Macaca mulatta: one gene and its partner. The protein of the gene in region 1 purifies or fractionates together with the protein of each later gene. This does not show direct contact. Links are inferred from orthologs where the notes say so. Each region holds a gene or a part of one and is shown on either strand. Other genes may lie near its edges.

Region 1 (10,129 bases):
AAACCGAGGCTGCCACCTGTGGGTACAGGCAGGGCTGTGGGAAACGGGCACCAGCCAGGACTCTCCCAGTTTTGGTTTTTTTTTTTTTTTTTTTTTGAGATGGAGTTTTGCTCTTATTGCCCAGCCTGGAGTGCAGTGGTGCGATCTCGGCTCACTGCAACCTCTGTCTCCCGGGTTCAAGCGATTCTCCAGCCTCAGCTTCCCGAGTAGCTGGGATTACAGGCGCCTGCCACCATGCCCAGCTAATTTTTGTATTTTTAGTAAAGATGAGGTTTCACCCTGTTGGCCAGGCTGGTCTCGAACTCCTGATCTCAGGTAATCCGCTTGCCTTGGCCTCCCAAAGTACTGGGATTACAGGTGTGAGCCACCACGCCTGGCCTCTCCCTGGTTTTTTTTCCTCCACAGCTTCTCTTGCCTTTACCCCTCCCTCCCTCAGCACCCCCTCACCTCCTCCAGCTCCTCCATAGCCCCCCGCTGCACCTCCAGAGCCTCCACCCATGTGGGAGCCACCCCCGAAGGGCTGGGAGAAGGTGGGCAAGGCCTTCCTCCGCTTCCGCTGCACCTCTTCCTTGTCTGGGGGCAGAGGAAAATGAGATTGAGCCCAATTATTGTGTCATGCCTCAGGGGCCCTTCCCAGAAGAGCCCTCAGGCTGGCTCCTAGGAAGCACCTCCTCAGACCCTCCACACTCCTGACTTGGCTCATGCATCCCCACATCTAGCTCTTGGGACCTTCTAGCCCAGCCTGGCCCCCCACCATCCCCCTGGGGTCCTCAGCCCAGCTCCACCTTCCACCAGAGGGTAATAGGTGAACTGTTTGGAATCAGACACATCCCCTCCTCGCTTGCGTTTCAGTTGCAGGAACACTGTTACGGGCCGCTCAATCTTCATCTTGTGATAGGGGGGTGTCCGGAACACAATGGCATACTGGGGGGTGCAGGGAGACACAGGGTGTCAGTGAGTCCTTAGCCTAATTTAGCCCCCAGCCTGGGCCCTAGCCCTGGATACCTGTTTATGCACATCTGTGGGAGAGAAGTCCCCAAAGGCCTGCCATCCATTCTCATCATCCTCATAGAACCGAACCTCAATGTCATCTACAAGGAAAACGGAAGCTTGGCCGCAGCTCCCGGTGGAATCTCCGGGGCCATTTATCCTAGAGCTTCCCTGGCCCCAGTCTTATATTCGATGTCCTTGGCGCCCAGCCTGGGCTCCAGTCTCACCTTTCTGCACCTTGTCACAAAGCAGATAAACTTCATCACCACCCCGCACAGAGCCTGCTGTCTTGTCCATTCGAGAAATCTTCAGGTTTGATGCCCCCGGAGACTCTATGGGGTGGGATATGGATTAGCTGAGATGATGCAATAGCCATGGCCACATTTAAGGAGCTTGGTGCTCTGTATTCCTTATCTTAGCAACCCCTGGAGCTGCAGGAACCACCCAATATTCGCATTTACTAAAGATAGAAGCTTCAGGGGGAGGAAATGACTTGCTCAGGATCACTCAGCATCTATGTGGCAGGGCCAGGTTCTGAAACCCGGGCCTGTTTGACTCCACAGCTTAAGGTCACCCCTCGTGCCACCTCTGCCACCAGGCCTGGCACCCCAGGTAGTCAGGATACTCACTGCTGTCATGGATGGGCTGGGAAATGACTGGCTTCAGGGGCAGGGAGAAGGAGCCATCACTGGCTCTAAGGAAGGCAGAGAAGCGCAGCCGCACTATACTCAGATCCATCACCTTCTTCAGTTCTTTGGCCTCCTGCTCCAGCTCCCGCTGCTCGGCCTCTGGGCAGTGGGTACATGTGTGACCCCTGGGCTTCTCCCTCCCTGCTCCTTCCATGAGCACCTCCCATGACCCTCCCCCCACCGCACCCATACCCGTAAGGCCCTGGGGCCTAGAGCGGAGCCGCTGCCTCTGAAGTTTTTGTATCATAGTTCCCATCATGTTCTTCTTAGTCACGTGCAGGACACCCAGGTTGTTAAATCTGAGGAGATGGGAGAATCAGAGGCCTTTGGCTGTGCAGTTCTTTCTTCCTGAGGTGCCTTTCCCATTGTCAGGGCTCAGCTCAGCCCTACTTCCTCAAGGAAGCCATTGGAGTTTCTACTTGGGCCCTTGGGTTTGGGGCCAACCTACCTCTCTCCCCTTGGTCAGATGCTAAGCTCATGGAGGTGGGCTGGGGCTTAGGACTGGCAGAGAGTGAGGGGCATATCAGTGGGGGCCAGGGGTAGAGGGCACCTACTGGGCAGTCATGTCCTTGGGCCCCACAGAAACGGCGCAGATCCCCAGCTCCGAGCATTGCTTGCCCACCAGACTGTGGGCATGAGCACGAGGTGGGTCACTGTGTGTTACCAGGTCTACCTCGATCTTGGCTGGTCCCTCGTAGTTACAAATCTAGGAGAGGCAGGGACTGTCAGGGCCTTGGGCGTGCTGTCCACTTAGCCAACCCTCCAGCACCATCCTGGCTCACCTTGACAGTGGGATAGGTCTTTCGGCCCTTCTCACTGGAGGCACCGGGCAGTCCTCCGTGGGAGGGGCCTTCACAGCCATATCGAAATCGGAAGCCTCTCTGAAGGTCCAAGGGCAGAGTAGCATTATGATCAGGGAAGACCACCCCGGCCAGCAGTGACCACAGTGCCTGGTAGTATCTGCTCTGAACCACAACTACAGCACTCTGATCAGCAGCAGTGACCATCCAATCCCCTGTGGCCTCCTTGGGCAATGGCTCCTCCATGGCCTGCCAGCTACCACTACCCCATTTGTCCCCAAAGCTGAAGCCATTCCACACCCTCCCTTTTGCTTACTCACCTGCTTAGGCTGTTCCACGATCACCAGGTAGGGGCCATCAGCTGGGGACAGGGAGACCTTGCTTAGCCACTATCTCCCAGCCCTTCCCCCAGGCAGAAGGCACATGCTCTCCCTCCCCCTACCTTTAGGACTAGAGGAGGTTAGTGAACTTACTGACCTGTCTCTGGGGCTGGCTCCTTGGGTTCCATAATGGAGGAGTTCAATTTGAAATCATCATATTCAATAATGCCATCCAGACCCTGGTTTGGAGACAGACTGGGGGTGGCATCCAACTCTCAGCGCCCCCCACGGCCCCACCTCCCATCTCCAAGTCCTCAGTGGTCACTCCCCCTCCTCCTCAGGCCCAAGAGAAAGCTCCTTTTGGAGGCAGAGTTGTAGACAGATGGACAGACTGGTAGGCTGAGAGCATCTGCGAGCATGCAGGTGTGTGGCAGCAGAGGGGGCTCGGGCAGACAGGTGGACAGACACGGGGGGCGGCCGGCCGGGTCAGGGGCAGGCAGCGTGACTCACTGGGTTGTAGCAACTCTCCATGTCTCTGGGCTAGGCCCGGCTCTGTCTAGTGGCTCCGGCCAGGTTCTGCTTCCCAGAATTTTAGGCGCCCGCCTAAAGTTGGGAGGAGTGGCGTGGGGGAGGGGGTCAGATCTAAATGGGGGTGGGCGGGAGATGGGGGCCCAGATTTGGGGGACGGTCCGACCTCCTCCAGCCGCCCGTCCGGGTGTGGCGGGTGAGATCCGGTGGAGAGCGAGATCCGGAGTTGGGCTTGGCCGGGGAAGGGGCAGGAAAGTTAGAGCAGCTTAGGAAAGTCCCGAAAATACCAAGGGGAGGCGGGGCCGGAGGGGGCGGGCCTGGAAATGACGCCAGTGGCACCGCCCTCACGACGGGAGGGGCGGGAGGCCCTCGCCAGTCTACGGGTTCCCGCTGCTTTTCAGCGGGTAGAGGGAGAGGAGAGTCAGGGGAGCCGCGGTGGGGGTTAAGCCCCCTCCTCCCTCCAGGGCAGGGAACAGGAGGGTCCCTCACGGCCGTGGGGAGGTTGGCAGTCTGGAGCCAAGTCCGCCTCCCGCTCCCCTCCCCCGGTCTGGAGCAACCTTGGGAATTTCTGCCAGGAGGGAGGCCACGGCTGATAAACCCGGGGGCTTTTGGGGGGACGTTCCTGCTGTCTGATGGCCTCCCCTTCGAACAGCCTGTAGGCGGGGGCTCTTTCCTGTGGGAGGCCCCGGGGTTCTGCCCCGAGAACACGATTCTGGGGCCGCGGGAAAAGTGTCTTCTCCTCCGGCTCCTCTTTTTCCCAAACCTCGCAACAGCAGCTGGTTCCACACCGCACCGGCTCTGGGCACGCAGGCGACAGGGAGACCTCTGCACGCTCCCCACCCAATACAAGCGTGTGTCTCCATCACAGCTCCACAAGTGTGTTTCGGCTCTAGTGCTTGGGTGCATGTTGTGTGTCCATGGCGTCAACATGAGTGTGCAAGCGAGCATGTGTGTAGACAGGTGAGTCCTGAGCTTCTCAGTGTGGGTGTGTGTCAGCGCCTGTCTTGATGTACAGACACGGGTGAGCGTATCTTGAGTTTGTGCGTGAAGGGTGTGGGTGCAGGCACCAGTGCACCGGTGGGCACGTCTCCGTGTGCATGTGTGTGCGAGTGCGACTGCACGGACGCTGCCGTGTGTGCGCCAGCACAGGTACAGGTGTACGTACGGGTCCGTGTGTCTTTGTACAAGGATGTCGACGTGGATCTGAGTGTCGTTGCCTGCGCGCCGCTGCTGCTCTCCAGCCCCCGGCGCTGTCCGCTAAAGGCCCTCCTCCCGCTCTTCTCTTGTCCCGGCCACCCAGGGGTCTGAATCCAGCCACTCACCGTGGCGGCGGCTCTGGTTGCGGCTTCTCTCCGCGCCCGACCCACCTGGGACCGGTCGCGACACCTCGCCGGCCAGCAGGGCTTGGGGCCGGGAAAGCCCCTTCTCGGCCCCCCGGAGGGGGGAATTCCCATGACGTTTCCGTGCGTCACGCCTCGCGCCCTTTTTCATTGGCTGAAAGTTTAACTCTGGACTGGCGCAGCCAACCCGGAGCGACTCGGGCGCGCCCCTGAGAGGGGACAGGCTCACTCAGGGTAGGGAGCGGGGCGACAGGCCACCAGGCGCGACAGGCCACCAGCGGGGCGACAGGCCACTAGTTCGGCCGGCTAGGGGACCGCCGAGAAGGTACCCGCTGACCCAGCGCCACCTTGGGCCGGGAGCTTCCGCTGCAGCTCGGCTTTGGCTGCGCCTAATGCTTGACTTTCTCCGAAGCGGGGGAACCCCAGGGGGAAGCCGACGGCCCCAGCCCTCGGGGCCCCCACCCTGAGCGGCGGGCTGCCGGGAAGTTAGCGGAAGAGGAAGGAAGTTGCTTTTGCGGTCGGTCCCGGGCGCCCTCTGGCGGCCTTCATGAGGCCGCAAGGAGACTCCATTTGGCCCAGGCCCCTGTCTCGCTTTGTCTCATCAGCCTCAGGGTTCCGGGAGAGACAGTCCGGACCTCGGACTTTTATAGAAGTGATAGGTTCCCAGCGGGCCAGGACTCAGGAGCTCTGCGCAGGAGAAGGGAAATTAAGTGTTTATCCACCACGGAGATCTGGAATATTAGAACTGAAAAAGGCATCCAGAGTTTAAACAGCTCAAATTTCCACCGATGTGGGAAATCGCCTCTTTTTTTTTAGTCTCAGACTGGAATGCAGTGAGGCGCTTTTGGCTCACTGCAACCTCCGCCTCTTGGATTCAAACCATTCTCCTGCCGCAGCCTCCCGAGTATCTGGGATTACAGTGCCCACCACCAAGCCCGGCTAATTTATGTATTTTTAGTAGAGTTGGGATTTCACCATGTTGGTCAGGCTAGTCTCGAACTCATGTCCTCAGGTGATCCGCTGGCCTCCGCCTTCCGAAACGTTGGGATTACAGTCGTGAGCCACCGCACACGGCCTATTTCATTTATTTATGTTTTTGAGACAGTGTCTCGCTCTGTCACCCAGGCCTGGAGTACAGTGGCGCGATCATGGCTCACTGCAACCTCGAACTCCGGGGTGCACTGATTCTCTCACTCTCCTGAGTAGCTGGGACTACAGGTGCACACCACCACACCTGGCAAATTTTTAAATTTTTAGTGGAGATGGATCTCACTACGTTGCCTAGGCTGGTCTTAAACTCCTGGGCTTAAGTGGTCCTCCTACTTTGGCCTTCCAAAATGCTTGGATTACAGACGTGAGCCACTGTGTCCTGCCAAATTGCCTCTTATAGACCTTCCAGTTTCCATCTGAACACTTCTAGAGGCAGTGAGGTCAGGACAGGAATTCACCAAGTATCGAGTACATGAGTGGACCTCTCTCTGGTCAGTAGCGTTTCTCCTTAGCAGGTGCCATGAGTAATCTCCATGCCTGGAGTCCTCCTCCCTTAGGCTTATGGTAGAACATAGGCTATCTGGGATCTTTCCTGCAGCTTGCCCCAGACGTTTTTAAGAACAGAATCACAGGCCTGCACTGGCACTAAGAGAGACTATTATGGCTCTCGATTTGGGCTGTCTGTTTCCTATTACTTCCCCACCCCCCTTCATCTTGCCTGCAAATATAGTGTCCCAGGCACTAGGTTCGAGTACTTTAGAAGTTCTCATTCTCCCTCCCAACAACCCTAGGAGGTGAATATTACCTTTACTGATGAAGAAATCAAGGCTCAGAGAGGTGGAGTAACCAAACACACAGCTAGGAAGGGGCAGAGCCAGGATTCAAACCCAATCTGTTGACTCCAGGATGAAGCTCTTTCCCCTAAATTTATATAAAACAAAGCAGCCCTTTCCACCTTACTGTGGGCCTCTCAAACAAATATCGTAAGATTCTGCCAAACAATTTGCTGAAATCCAGATATGTTGTCTACTACATTTCTCCGGTAAGTCAGATTCCTAACCCTATTTAAAATGGACTAAGGCCAGACATGGTGGCCCACACCTGTAATCTCAGCACTTTGGGAAGCCAAGGCTTGTGGATCATTTGAGCCCAGGAGTTCGAGACCAGCCTTGGCAACATGGTGAAACCCCGTCTCAAAAAATATAAAACTTGGCCAGTCTCATAACTAGGTCTCTAAATAAATAAATAAAAATTTAAAAATAAAATTTAAAATGGAGGAAATTCAGCTTGGTATACTCTAACTTAGTAAACCCGTGCTGGTTACCACTGATCACGTCTGTCCTTTCAAAGTGCTCACAAATTGCCACCAAAATTGGCATGGATTCTTCGAGTCCCCACAACATCTCTAAAAGCACCCCTAAGGGTTGAGCTATTTTAGTTACAAGAGTCTAAGCTGTAATTTATCTAAAGATTAAAAAAAGAAGACCTTTATTAGCGAACATTTCAAACATACAGAGATTTTCACTTTGGGAGGCTGAGGCAGGCGGATCACTTGAGCTCAGGAGTTTGAGATTACCCTGGCAACATAGGGAGACCTCATCTCTACTTAAGTTAGCTAGATGTGATGGTGAGTGCCTGTAGTCCTAGCTACTTGGAAGGCTGAGGTGGGAGGATTGCTCAAGCCCAGGAAGTTGAGGCTGCTGTGAGCCATGTTCGTGCCACCGCACTCCATCCAGGCTGGGTGACAGACAGACGCCGTCTCAAAAAAAGAAGAGTGGAGAGAATAGTATAATGAGCTCCCGTGTGCCCCTCTGTCAGATTCATCAATTCCTAATGCATGTTAGCCTGGAGATTTTAAACTAACTCAAAATAGCTTGTCATTTGCTAGAGCCTCATCTATCTGGGCTTAAGAAACCTCTTTGTTAGGCTGGGCACAGTGACTCACACCTATAATCTCAGCACCTTGGGAGGCCAAGGCGGGTGGATCACTTGAGGTCAGGAGTTCGAGACCAGCCTGGCCAACATGGTGAAACCCTGTCCCTACTAAAAGTATAAAAATTAGCTGGATGTGGTGGTGGGCAACTGTAGTCCCAGCTACTAGGGAGGCTGAGGCAGGAGAATCATTTGAATCTGGGAGGCGGAGGTTGCAGTGAGCTGAGATCACGCCACTGTGCTCCAGCCTGGAAAACAGAGTGAGACTCCATCTCAAAAACAAAAACAAAACAAAAAAAAAAAAACTTCTTCATTGCATGTTTCACTAATTTTCATCCTAATGATCATCTGTTTCTACACCCAGCCCTAGCACAATGCCTAGCCCAGAGCGGATGCACCCCAAATTTATTCCATTCATTTACCAATAAATAGTGAGAGCCCACTCCATTAAACACCGCTGTTTGCAGACAAAACTCCAACAGATATATATCAGTTGGTAGTAAGTGCTACAGAGAAAAATTAAGTAGGTAAGGGATTAGACAGTGACAAGGATTTTCTAGGTATCAGTCAAAGCAGGACTCTCTGATGAAGTAACAATTAAACAATGACTTGAAAAAGTAAGGGAGTGAGTCATGGGGAATATCTGGAGAAAGAGCGTTCCAGGTGGAGGGAACAGTAGGGCCAAGCTCTGATACAAGTGTTTGGCATATTTGAGGAACAGCAAGAAGGTTAGTAGGTGGAATAAAGTAATAACTTTGGATTTTGTTCTGATCAAGATGGAAAGCTGTGAGAGAGTTCTGAGCAGTGGAGTGAAAATTGCATAATGGGCCAGGCGCGGTGGCTCAAGCCTGTAATCCCAGCACTTTGGGAGGCCGAGGCGGGCGGATCACGAGGTCAGGAGATCGAGACCATCCTGGCTAACACGGTGAAACCCCGTCTCTACTAAAAATACAAAAAGAAATTAGCCGGGCGTGGTGGCGGGCTCCGTCTCAAAAAAAAAAAAAAAAAAAAAAAAAGAAAATTGCATAATGTATCTTTTTTTTTTTTTTTTGAGAGAGGCTCTTACTCTGTTACTCAGAGTGGTGTGCAGTGGTGTGGTCATAGCTCACTGCGACCTCAAACTCCTGGGCTCGAGTGATCATCCCACCTTAGCCTCCTGAGTAGCTAGGACTACAGGTACCTGCCACCAGGCCCAGCTAATTTTTGCATTTTTTTGTAGAGACGAGTTTCACCATGTTGCCCAGGCTGGTCTCAAACTCCTGCGCTCAAGTGATCTGCCCACATTGACCTCTCAACGTGAGGTCCATTGCCCAGCCTAGTTTTTTTTAGCTTTTAGATTTTTTTTTTTTGAGACAGGGTCTTGCTGTGTTGTCCAGGCTGGGGTATAACGTGTCTTAAAAGGATCCATTTGGGCTGCATGCCTGTAATCCCAGCACTTTGAGAGGCCGAGGCAGGTGGATTGCTTGAGCCCATGAGTTTGAGACCAGCCTGGGTAACATGGTAAAATCCCTTCTCTACGAAAAATGCAAAGATTAGCTGGGTGTGGTGGCATGCATCTGTATTCCCAGCTACTCAGGAGTCTGAGGTCAGAGAATTGCATGAGCCCAGGAGGTGAAGATTGCAGTGAGCCTAAATTGCACCACTGTACTCCGGCCTGGGCAACAGAGCGAGACCGTCTCAAACAAACAAATAAGGATCCATTTAGCTGCTGTGTAAAGACCATCGAATGCAAGGACCTATAAGGAAGGAGGGAGACTAGTAGTCCAACAGACAGTGGCTGAGGCTTGGGTGCTAGTGGATGATAAAGGTGGTGGGAAGTAATCGCAATTCTAGATAGATTTAAAGATAGAAGTAACAAGACTTGCTGAGGATTAGATGTAGGATGTGAGAAAAGAGGGGGTTTTGGCATAAAAAAGAATGGAATTGTCCTTTAGTGATGTGGGGCACACAGAGAGGAGCAGATTTATAGGGGGTATCAATAATTTTTCCTTTTACTTATTTTTAAAAATTATTATTATTTTTTGAGACAGATTCTCACTCTGTTGCCCAGGCTAGAGCGTGGTGGCGTGATCTCGGCTCACTGCAACCTCCACTTTCCAGTTTCAAGTGATTCTCCTGCCTCAGCCTCCAGAGTAGCTGGGATTACAGGCGCCCACCACCATGCCCAGCTAATTTTTGTATTTTTAGTAGAGAAGGGGTTTCACCATGTTGGTTAGGCTGGTCTTGAACTCCTGAACTTGTGATCTGCCCGCCTCGGCCTCCCAAAATGCTGGGATTACAGGCGTGAGCCACCGTGCCCAGTCTATTTTTTTTTTTTTTTTTTTTTGAGACAGTCTTGCTCTGTTGCCCAGGCTAGAGTGCAGTGGCACAATCTCAGCTCACTGCAACCTCTGCCTCCTGGGTTCAAGCGATTCTCCTGCCTCACCCTCCTGAGTAGCTGGGATTACAGGCTCCTTCTCAATGGGAGCCCTGGGGCTGAGTGGCTCTGCTCATTCACAGCCACTTGTCTTCCAACCAGTGAGCCCTCAACAAAGGTAAAT
Region 2 (10,279 bases), on another chromosome or scaffold:
AGCCAAAAACAAAATATGTATTATAATTCAAATAACAAAAAGTATATATTGTCATGTGGACTGAGGAATAGTCTTTTCCATCCTTTGCAGTAAAGATATATGTGATTGACTAGCCAAGTCGATTTAAATTATTTAGTGTACATCCATAAAACTTTATGAATTACTTGCTGCATATGTGATGACACTCGCCAGTATTGCCCATTTTGTGTTGATTTTGTTAACGTACATTACTAAGGAGCTTTTCATCAAATTTTGCAGTCCCTGAAACATTTTCATCTTTAAAGTTACAAATGTGATTTCTCAGCTGCTGTATAGAAAATATGGAACCAGAAATACTAAAAAATGATAATTGTTTTTAAAGTATTAATCTTTTTAGTCACACAGTTGTTTTTTACATGCTATGCTGAAAATAACAAGAAATTTGATGCAGAGGGAAAAATGATTTTTTATGACTTAGTAGATAATTCACAAATATGTGTTAAGATATTAGGATTTATGTCCTACCAGTTTCAAAAGTACTACAAGTGACTTGTTCAATACGGAGTACAACTTTAAAAAATGTATTTAAAGTAATTGATGTTGTGTTTGTGACCTGGCTTGAAGTTCTCTTTTGGTGAAGAGCATGCATAAAAAGGTTTGATAATTATTTACTCAGTGAACAAATGTTTTGAGTGCCTTATGAGTCAGGCATTTTTGTGAGTGCTGGAGATAATAGTGATGAAAAACAAAAGTCCCTTTTCCTTATAGAACTTAAAGTGTGGGAAGGCAGATAGTACAGAAATAAATTGATGGATGGATAGATGGATAGGTAGGTATTTACTATATAGCAGGTACTGTTTCTGCTTTTGTTTAGTGCTGTGGAAATGAGTAGAGCCAGGACAAAGGAAAAGAAGAGGTGATGCTGGTGGGTATTATTTTAAGTTGGATGGTTAGAGAAAGTATTAAATAGGGGACATTTGAACAGAGTCCTCCATGAAGGAAGTACAAATAATAAAAAGAGGAATAGCCAGCACAAAGGCTCTGAGGTTGCAGCACACTTTACCCCTCAAGAAAGAACGGTGACAGAAAGTGAGAAAGAGAGAAGTAAAATATGAGTTCACAGTGGTGGGAATGTATGTGGGTGATAGAAGGACCCAACAGGCAACCATAAAAGACATTGGCTTTTACTCTGAGTGAAATGGGAAGCTCTTAGTGGGTGTTGAGCAGTGGATTAGTAAGATAAAACTTATTTCATTATGCATTTCAGGTACTTACTCCTAATCATAGTAATTAATAAATTATTAATTTGGAGTATAGGAAGTTCATATGTGAAGTGATGGGTGTTGGCTCTTTTAGAATTCAGTGAAAATCTTAAACTTCTTGCAGAAAGTGATTCCAAGCTTTGAGTTACTCTTCCTGATGATCAGTACAATTGGTTTACTTTCTTGTTATCTTTGTCCTAAAGCTTCTTAAATCACTTTGTAGCTCAAGTCTAATGGATTATACCAGCCCATGTAAATTCTGAAAATGTTAATATTGCCCAGTGATTCAGAGGCTTTAGTAATTTGCTTAAAGTACTTCTTGTTTTATTGGTATAAACTGTATTCCTCAGTGTCTACTATGATTTCAAAGTTAGTACTTGGCTTGGAATTTTCCTTTGAAGCTCGCAACTGTAGTTCAATATAAGATAGGCTGTCAGAGCTCCACTTATTTAACAACTGTATCTGTGCCCACTTTTATTCCTTTAAGCATCCTAGAGTAAGCATTTCAAATGGTTTTGAATTATCAAAGGTCATTTTGAATAACAAGATTATTGAGAAAATATTTTAAAAGTTCATGAGAAAGTTGTGTAAAATACACCCCCCCACCCAAGGTAGGCCTGAAATGCCACTAAATCAACAAAGGATAGTGAATAAAAGTTACCCTGTATTTTCTAGGATTTGGGGAAAGTGGAGTAGCTCTACTTTCTTTAAATAGCCTATTTTAAATTTGTTTGAACAGCAGAATTATTATACCTCTTTTTCATTCAGAATGGAGTTGACTGTAGGCATCTTTTTAAAGTACCCATAGGTCAGGACCTCTCTGGACTTTCCACTACCTTGAAAGACACTGCCAGAAGAATGTTGTTCCCCACACTTACAAAAGGAACAGTAATGTTCTTTTCTCCAGCCATTATTTTATGCAAAGTCCAACTTTATTTTATCAGAGCTATCTGAACTTTCAATGTATTTGAAACATTCATTGACTAATATCTTTAATGGAGCTTTTAATGTCTCTGATCATTTATCCTTTGTTAGGTTAGCAGAACTGGAACAACACAGTTACTTTCACAGCTTCAAATGATACTTTCATAGTCATTTGTGGACATGTACTATGCAGTGTCACAAAGTTTGAGCCACCTGACAAACCTATTTCTAGTTGAGATCAACAGGGTGATGCTCTGCCTTCTTGTTGCAGCTGTCATACTGTAAACAAGTGTCATTTTCATGGTCCATGAGGAAAAGTATAGCATTTTCCTCATTTTGGTGCTTTTCATTAGTGATTGGGCAGTTTAAAATGGCCCCAAAACATAGCCCTGAAGTTCTGTTTAATGTTCCTGAGTGCAGGAAGGTTGTAATTTGCCTTAAAGATAAACTAATGTGTATTAAATAAACTTAATTCAGGCATTAGTTATAATGCTGTTGACCATGAGTTCAATGCTGATGAATCAATCTATATTAAAGATATATTTAGACAGAAACACACATAAAAAAGGTTATGCGTTGATCAGTTGGCAACAATGTTGTGACCAGAGGCTTGTGAGAACTGTATTTCCCCTAGGAGCAATGGCTCAGTATTTGTTAATTCAGTGGTTGCAGCAATTTTATAGAACGCAATTACTGTGAATGCAAATCAACTGTATTTCATTAACAGTGGTGATTTATAGGGACTTTAGATACCAGAAGTGTTTCATAATTCCCTTTCTCGAAACCATTGTTTTAATATGTTTAAATGCATGCATGCAGAGTTGTGATGTTAAACATAATTTTACTGTGGGTTCTGGTCAAAAAGAGGAAATGTCATCAGGTAACTTGAAAGATACGTTATTCTAAACATTATCCTCCAGAAAATTGGCATGTACAAGAAGCATATTGAATGCTCAGCAAATAATTTGTTTTAGAGTAATAATCTTTGAGTATTGTAGTGATTCTAGTTTTGGAAAAGAAGGCAGTATCAGTGTTAGAGAATAATATTCTTTCAGGATTTTATGTGGTTACTTCAAGGTGTATGAAAGAAGACTCACTTGGGTGTTAAATTCTTGTCCCTGCTTTACTTAAAGCTAGTAATCTTGAGAAATTTACTAAATCATTTTAAGCCTGATTACCTTGCCTGCAAAGTGAGGAACATTTTCAGTTTAAAATTTTATTTCTTTTATTAGTATTCTTCCTGACCTTGAATCATTTCTGTTCCCATCATATCCAGTTGCCAAGAAATCCATGAACCTTAATGTTGTTTATTAGCCATCAGATTTTATTTCACTGAACTCAAGTTCAGTCACATTAGTTACCGATAAAATCATGTTATGTATATTAATATATATAACTTATATATATTAATATATTATATTAAATGTATAATATATTAATATATAAAAATATATTAATATATATAAATATATAACATGATTTTATCGGTAACTGTGACTGAACTTGAATATATCAAATATTTGATATATCTTGACATTTTGTATTATGGTAAGAAGAAATAAAAGACCTTCCTCAAATTTTAGGATATGGACTTCTGTTTGTTGATGTTGGTGTTTTATCATACACTGTTGTAAATCATACTAAAGGTTTTCTCTGAAAAAGACTAGAATTGACAATACTTCATTTGTTAACAGTTTCAAGTTTTAGATCACGGGTGCTTAATTTCTTGTGTGTGCACAATATGTTGGCATTATTTTATCTGACCTCAAAGATGTCCATATAGATACCAACAAAGGATAAAGTGTAAGAATAAATATCATGAAAAGATGCTGTATCAGATAAAATTCTAGAGCCAGGTTTAAAAAACATAAAGGTAAACATGCTTGATATGTAAAAATTGAGAAATATGATAAAAACAGAAATGTTTAAAGCATCTGTAATACCACTGCCTAAGATGCAGTTTATTTTGAAATGTTGTCTTCTAGTCTTCATACAGTTTAAAAATCATATTATAATCATTATTATTTCCAGTATTTTCCCCTTAGCGTAATATAATATAACATCCGTGTTTTAAAAAATGTTTTATGAACGTCATGTTTAGGGATTACACTGTATATATCCCATCTCATAGATTCCTTTATATTGAGCATTTGAATTTTTACTTTTATTTACATTTATTTTTATCTTTATATTTGCTTTTGTGGATAAACTGCAGTGAGCATCCTCTGTATAATTTTTTTTTTCTGTTTTAGGATTACTTCCTTAGGATAGATTGCCAGAAGTGGAGTTACTGGGTCAGAGGGTATGAACTTATGAACTTTTTTTTTTAAATAAATTTTTTGTTTCTGTCCAGTCATTTGTAAAAGAATTAAAATAATAATGATTATAATTGTTACCTGCTTGAAAACTGTGTCTGAAGGCAAGATTCTGTGATCAGAGAAGTTTGGGAAATACCAGGATAAAAAGCCTTTTAATCTGATTTACCTCAGCATTTCCCAAATTTAACTGAACACTGAAATTTTTTTTTGATACACTTCTTAAAATTTTGTGGAAGTTTTATATAGGATATAGTCTATGAACTACTGATGTAAAGTTGAAATTGTTTTATATGCTTATGTTTTATTGGTCAAAGGAATTAAACTATAAATCTTTATGCTAAAAATTATTAAAAGCGATTAATGTTGTTTACTATGGTTTTTGTGCATGTCTTTATAAAGTCTTATAACTTTTAAAATTGAAATGTTCTATATTGTTTACTAAAAAGCATTTTAATGCCTTGGTGGCATCAATACTTTTTTGCAATCATTAATGATATTTAGAATGTAGACATATAACATGAAAGTAGAACATAATATAGATTGTACAAATCTTGTTTTTTCCACTATTTTCCCCTGCAGAATGTGAAAACCTTTGCATCTTCTGATAGTCTAGCCAAGGTCCAAGAAGTAGCAAGCTGGCTTTTGGAAATGAATCAGGAACTGCTCTCTGTGGGCAGCAAAAGACGACGAACTGGAGGCTCTCTGAGAGGTAACCCTTCCTCAAGCCAGGTAGATGAAGAACAGATGAATCGTGTGGTAGAGGAGGAACAGCAACAGCAACTTAGACAACAAGAGGAGGAGCACACTGCAAGGAATGGTGAAGTTGTTGGAGTAGAACCTAGACCTGGAGGCCAAAATGATTCCCAGCAAGGACAATTGGAAGAAAACAATAATAGATTTATTTCAGTAGATGAGGACTCCTCAGGAAACCAAGAAGAACAAGAGGAAGATGAAGAACATGCTGGTGAACAAGATGAGGAGGATGAGGAGGAGGAGGAGATGGACCAGGAGAGTGATGATTTTGATCAGTCAGATGATAGTAGCAGAGAAGATGAACATACACATAGTAACAGTGTCACAAACTCCAGTAGTATTGTGGACCTGCCCGTTCACCAGCTCTCCTCCCCATTCTATACAAAAACCACAAAAGTGAGTATATTCATTATATTGTTAACTTGAGAAACTTTACATACCTATTTTAAGTAATGAAACTTTCCTCTCAGTCTTTGTATTACTAAAAATTAATCTTAAGATATGTAATAATAAAATGAACTAGTTTTTTGTTTTACAGAAGGTATTGGAAAGTATTAACAAGTAGAAATACTGATAATGGGACAATCTGAGTACAAATGGAGGGAAAGTAATTGAGCCTATTACTATGAAAAGTTATTAACATCAAATTTTTGTCTAAACCTTGAGTTCCGGGCAGGGATTAGTAGCTTGTGTGGGGTGTAGAGGTTTTGGGTGAAATATGATTTGTGTAAATCAAGTAATGAAGAAGCTTTTTATTTACAAAATGCAGCTGCTGGAGTGGGCTGTCTATTTACAAGTGTCACTCTAAGGCATAAATTACTCAAAAGTTGCCTCAAATTAGTTCTAGTTATTTATGATTTGAGAATTAGAAATAGTGGATATTCATGTAGAATAGACTTACAAGTTAAACTATATTTTGGAAAGGAACATTTTAACTTGAATAATAGCTTACTTGTTTTATAGACATTAAAATAATGTCTGTGGTAGTTCATCCTCTTACTCCTACTTGCTTATTTCTTACATTTTACAGTGATTTTAGGCCATAAACAATATACAAACTGATTTAACTGATTTGACATCATATCATTTAACCTAACTTGACTTGGAATGAAGTGTCTTACACACTTGGATTAATAATAGTTGAATTGCTAAATCATGTTTTACATCTGCTTGTAAAACCTTGACTTTCTAAAATGTGTTTGGCCCTAATTTACCTAGCCTGTCTGCAAGTCAGATTATATTTAGCTAGCATGATCTAAGAAGGACGTGACATCAAGTAGTGATTTTTCATCCATTGTATCATCCCTGTCTCAAGATGTTGAAGCAGTAGCTTTGGATCTCAGCCAGATGGCTCTACCGCTAACAACTATACACTGCTTTGTTAAGGCTCAGACCTTATATAGTGTCATTCCTCCCTTCTGTCCCCCCAGTCTTAATCCCCTTCTTCAAGGTTACTATATCAAAAGGGAGTTTATACAGCTCTTTTTTTCCTGAGGGTTCAGTTAGAGGAATAGGGGTTTAATACTTAAGTTCCAATTGCATTATCTTATTTCAGAAAGAGGTTCAATCAAAACTAAGCCTTGCAGAACAATGCAGAGTTATTGCTGATTTCTGCTACACTTTAAATTAAAAGCAAAAAAAGCTAGTTAGACAAAACTTTATCTTTTTCCAAAAGGAAAAGTCATCCTTATATTCTGTAGGAAACCTTCCAGTTCACAAGTTTGACAGGTACTTCATCTTTTCTTTACCTTCAAGATAAAATCATTAACAGAAATTTTATGTGTGTGATGATTACCTCTTTAAAAACGAAGTATACTGAATTTGTTAGTTTTTTTTCCTAGTGATTCTGAATCAGGAATAACAGTTATTCTTGTACATGCAAGATAACAAGAATGGACTGGGCCCTAACCATAGCAGGGATAGATGTGTGTATGCATTTGTATATATACACATGTACAATATAGATGTGTATATGCATTTATTATATAAGTGTGTATGTATACTTTTTGATATATTGTTGATCATGAGATGATTTGCCTTCATAAGTATGGCATGAAGAATACAAAGCTATTTGATTGCCAGGACAGTGATGCCCTTCTATAAGTACGATTTCAGTCTGAAATTTTTCTAAATGTTTTCCTTTTTGTCCATTCCTAAAACCCTTCTGCCAGAGTATTCCCGGAGCACTTTCAACAGCATTTAGAAAAGTCGCTTAGTACTGCTTTACCTAAAAAGAAAATGTCAATATTCTCCGTCTGTAGATGTTTTAATACAATAAATAGAAGCTCTCACTAGTTCAAGTACTTTATTTTGGAAGAGCTTTAAATTCTTGATCATTATAAAGTTAAGACACTTCTACAGACATTACCCTAGACCATAGTTTCATTCAAGTCTTAAACTTTGACTTTTGAGAGTAGAGGCATAAGAAATGAAATCCCATTTTTAAATGTTAATATAGGATTAGCTTTCTACAGATTTTACTCAGGATACCTTTCAAGTTTTATTTTTTGACGTTCTCATAAACAAACCCTGTGGACAGCTAGACTGAATTTTATCCGTCATCCCTAAATATGCTGCATAAGCAAATATGATATTAATGAGAAAAAAAGATGTTTAATTCTTCCTTGCATTGCTTTATTCTTTGAAAGCATTTTGAAAACTGTCAAAACTTTGAGGACAGTTTTTCCCCCCTTGTCACTAAAGGTTTGTTCTTTTGGGAGCCTTATGGCAAGCAATATATGTTAAAAATTCCATACTGTCTTAATGTTAAAAGTCAAGGGAAGTGATAGTCAAGAATTGCTATTTATTAAGCTCACACTGTTTGAAAGATCCTATGACAGATACATAAACAGAAGTTACAGAGAGGCCAAATGATCCACCCCAGATCACACTAAGTGATGAGAGATTTTAATCCTGATTTGCCTAATTGCAAAAAACCCCTTTCTCTTTCCATGTACTATGCTGCCCCCTATGGTAGAATATGACAAACATCACTAAACAAGATTTCCAATATAGTCATAGAGACTCTGGCGTGTGATGATTTTCTAATACTGTGTCCCATTTGAAGTGATCAGAGCTACCCTATAGAAAGGACAGAGAGCTCAGTTAACTACTTTTCTTTGTGGCACTTAACAAAACACTATTGAAGATTTTACAGCTCAAGGCTAAAGTAATCAGGAAGAAATGACGCTATTACAAAATCTGATAGAGGTCATACTCTCTCGAATCCATAAAACATGCTTTTAAAGCAGAGGTTGTGTGCTGGCTGTTCCTCTAAATTTGACTAGCCTGTAAATTCTAGAGTCAACTTGGTTCTCCAGATATAAATGTCTGTCTCTTCAGTTTTTACTTCCTTTGTCAACATCCTTATCATATATATTTTTTTAAAATTGTTTTCTGAAGAGATGCCCAGCTCATATTGAAGAATCTTTGACATATTTTATGCAGATATCAACTAATTTTCTACTAACATGAAAAACAAATGAGACAATTATTAGGCCAGATCTGGTATCCTGATCTTTTGATGAAGAGAAGTGTGTTTGAGCACTAATTTCTGATGCTTCCATATCTGTCATAGTGGCTTCCACCTGTTCTCTTCTCATATAACATCCTTACCTCAAATGAGTCTATTTTTTTTCCCATCCTGATTGTTGGATTCTTCCACCTGTTCTCGTCTCACATAACTTCCTTACCTGAAATTAGTCTATTTTTTTCCCATCCTGATTGTTAGATTCCTCTTAGTAATTAAACCGTGTTTATCCATTTGCCTCAAATAAGAAATAAATGTTTATCAAAAAATACATATGTATAAAGGATAGCCGGGTATGGTAGCTCACACTGTGATCCCAGCACTTTGGGAGGCTGAGGTGGGCAGATTGCTTGAGCCTAGGGGTTCAAGACCAGCGTGGGCAAACATGGCAAAACCCTGTCTCTACAAAAAACAAAAATTAGCTGAGTGTGATGGCATGCACCTGTGGTTCCAGCTACTTTGAGGGCTGAGGTGGGAGGATCATTTGGGCCCAGGAGGTTGAGGCTGCAGTGATCTGGGCCATAGAGAGTCCTGTTTCAGAATAAATAAGTAGAGAGGGGGGGAGTTGTGGAGAAGCATCTAGTATATTGGAGTTTAGAGGCATAAGACCCTTTCTTTCTTGTCTATAAGTTCTGAACAATAGAGGAATCAGGTAATAGGATCATTAACCAATCAGGGTATCTGGTCCACCATTCTCCAACCACCTCCTAGGACCAGAGCTGCTGAGAAACTTTGTAGGACAATGTGTCTAACATTGGAAATATAACAGGGCTCTAAGTTACACTCTATTGTAGAGTTCTAGAGAATGATAGCTTCTTCAGAAAGTCCCTGGCCTAGTCTACCTACAAGACAAATAACGTAAGTTCAAATTTTGTTTGGTGTAGACATGTCCAGAGAGCAAAAAATGCTATTTAAGGCAGTCATCTTGAGTAACATCCACTAGTAAACATGGCCCAGTGAATAGCCATGTCCCCTACCTTTGTGAGGGAGGAAAAATGAAACATTGACTCAGCATAGTTTAGCCCAATTTTAAACATGTGGGGAGGATGATGGAAATGGGAGAAATGGGGACAATGGGTGAGATGGGTTTTCCCTTAACATATTAGAGTGATAAGAACTTTTCAGATCTGAGTTTGAATTCTGATTATGCCACTTATATGTAACTGTAAGTATGTAATCTCAGTGAACCTATTACTTTATCTGTAAAATGAAGACTAGAATGCCTACCTCTTAAGGTTTTTGTAAGGATTAAGTGAAATAATTTATGTAAATCAGGTAGCATAGTGTCTGGGACACTCAAGATATTTTACAGATACAGGCCTTATAACATCATTTTATTTGTCTCCTGTGCCTTACCCCAAATCCCACAAAATACACTTCATTCCCCACAGCGGTTGTCAGTCTCTATATGTATGTTTTACGACCTTCAGCATTCAGTCATCATATCACCCTCTAGTGTAAAAAGAAGTAGAGAAATAAAGTCTTTTAAAAAGGTACACAGGAGGATTAGAAGA

Evidence for each region.
Region 2: the proteins of NFKB2 (region 1) and FBXW7 purify together in Homo sapiens (affinity purification with mass spectrometry; 7 studies listed by BioGRID and IntAct, with this or other methods). This does not show direct contact. The link is inferred for Macaca mulatta from reciprocal best matches to the Homo sapiens genes NFKB2 and FBXW7.

The regions. Positions count from the first base shown.
Region 1 is NC_133414.1:114,502,132-114,512,260, reverse strand, and holds the start of NFKB2 (nuclear factor NF-kappa-B p100 subunit), read right to left. Parts: upstream 5,159-10,129; 5' UTR 4,650-5,158; exon of another isoform or gene 4,493-4,649; intron 3,641-4,492; exon of another isoform or gene 3,403-3,640; 5' UTR 3,331-3,402; coding exon 3,310-3,330; intron 3,039-3,309; coding exon 2,957-3,038; intron 2,841-2,956; coding exon 2,800-2,840; intron 2,561-2,799; coding exon 2,462-2,560; intron 2,386-2,461; coding exon 2,234-2,385; intron 1,979-2,233; coding exon 1,872-1,978; intron 1,779-1,871; coding exon 1,620-1,778; intron 1,323-1,619; coding exon 1,218-1,322; intron 1,092-1,217; coding exon 1,006-1,091; intron 925-1,005; coding exon 786-924; intron 574-785; coding exon 448-573; intron 17-447; coding exon 1-16. UniProt on the Homo sapiens protein: NF-kappa-B is a pleiotropic transcription factor present in almost all cell types and is the endpoint of a series of signal transduction events that are initiated by a vast array of stimuli related to many biological processes such as inflammation, immunity, differentiation, cell growth, tumorigenesis and apoptosis.
Region 2 is NC_133410.1:161,007,728-161,018,006, reverse strand, and holds the start of FBXW7 (F-box/WD repeat-containing protein 7), read left to right. Parts: upstream 1-5,062; 5' UTR 5,063-5,131; coding exon 5,132-5,632; intron 5,633-10,279. UniProt on the Homo sapiens protein: Substrate recognition component of a SCF (SKP1-CUL1-F-box protein) E3 ubiquitin-protein ligase complex which mediates the ubiquitination and subsequent proteasomal degradation of target proteins.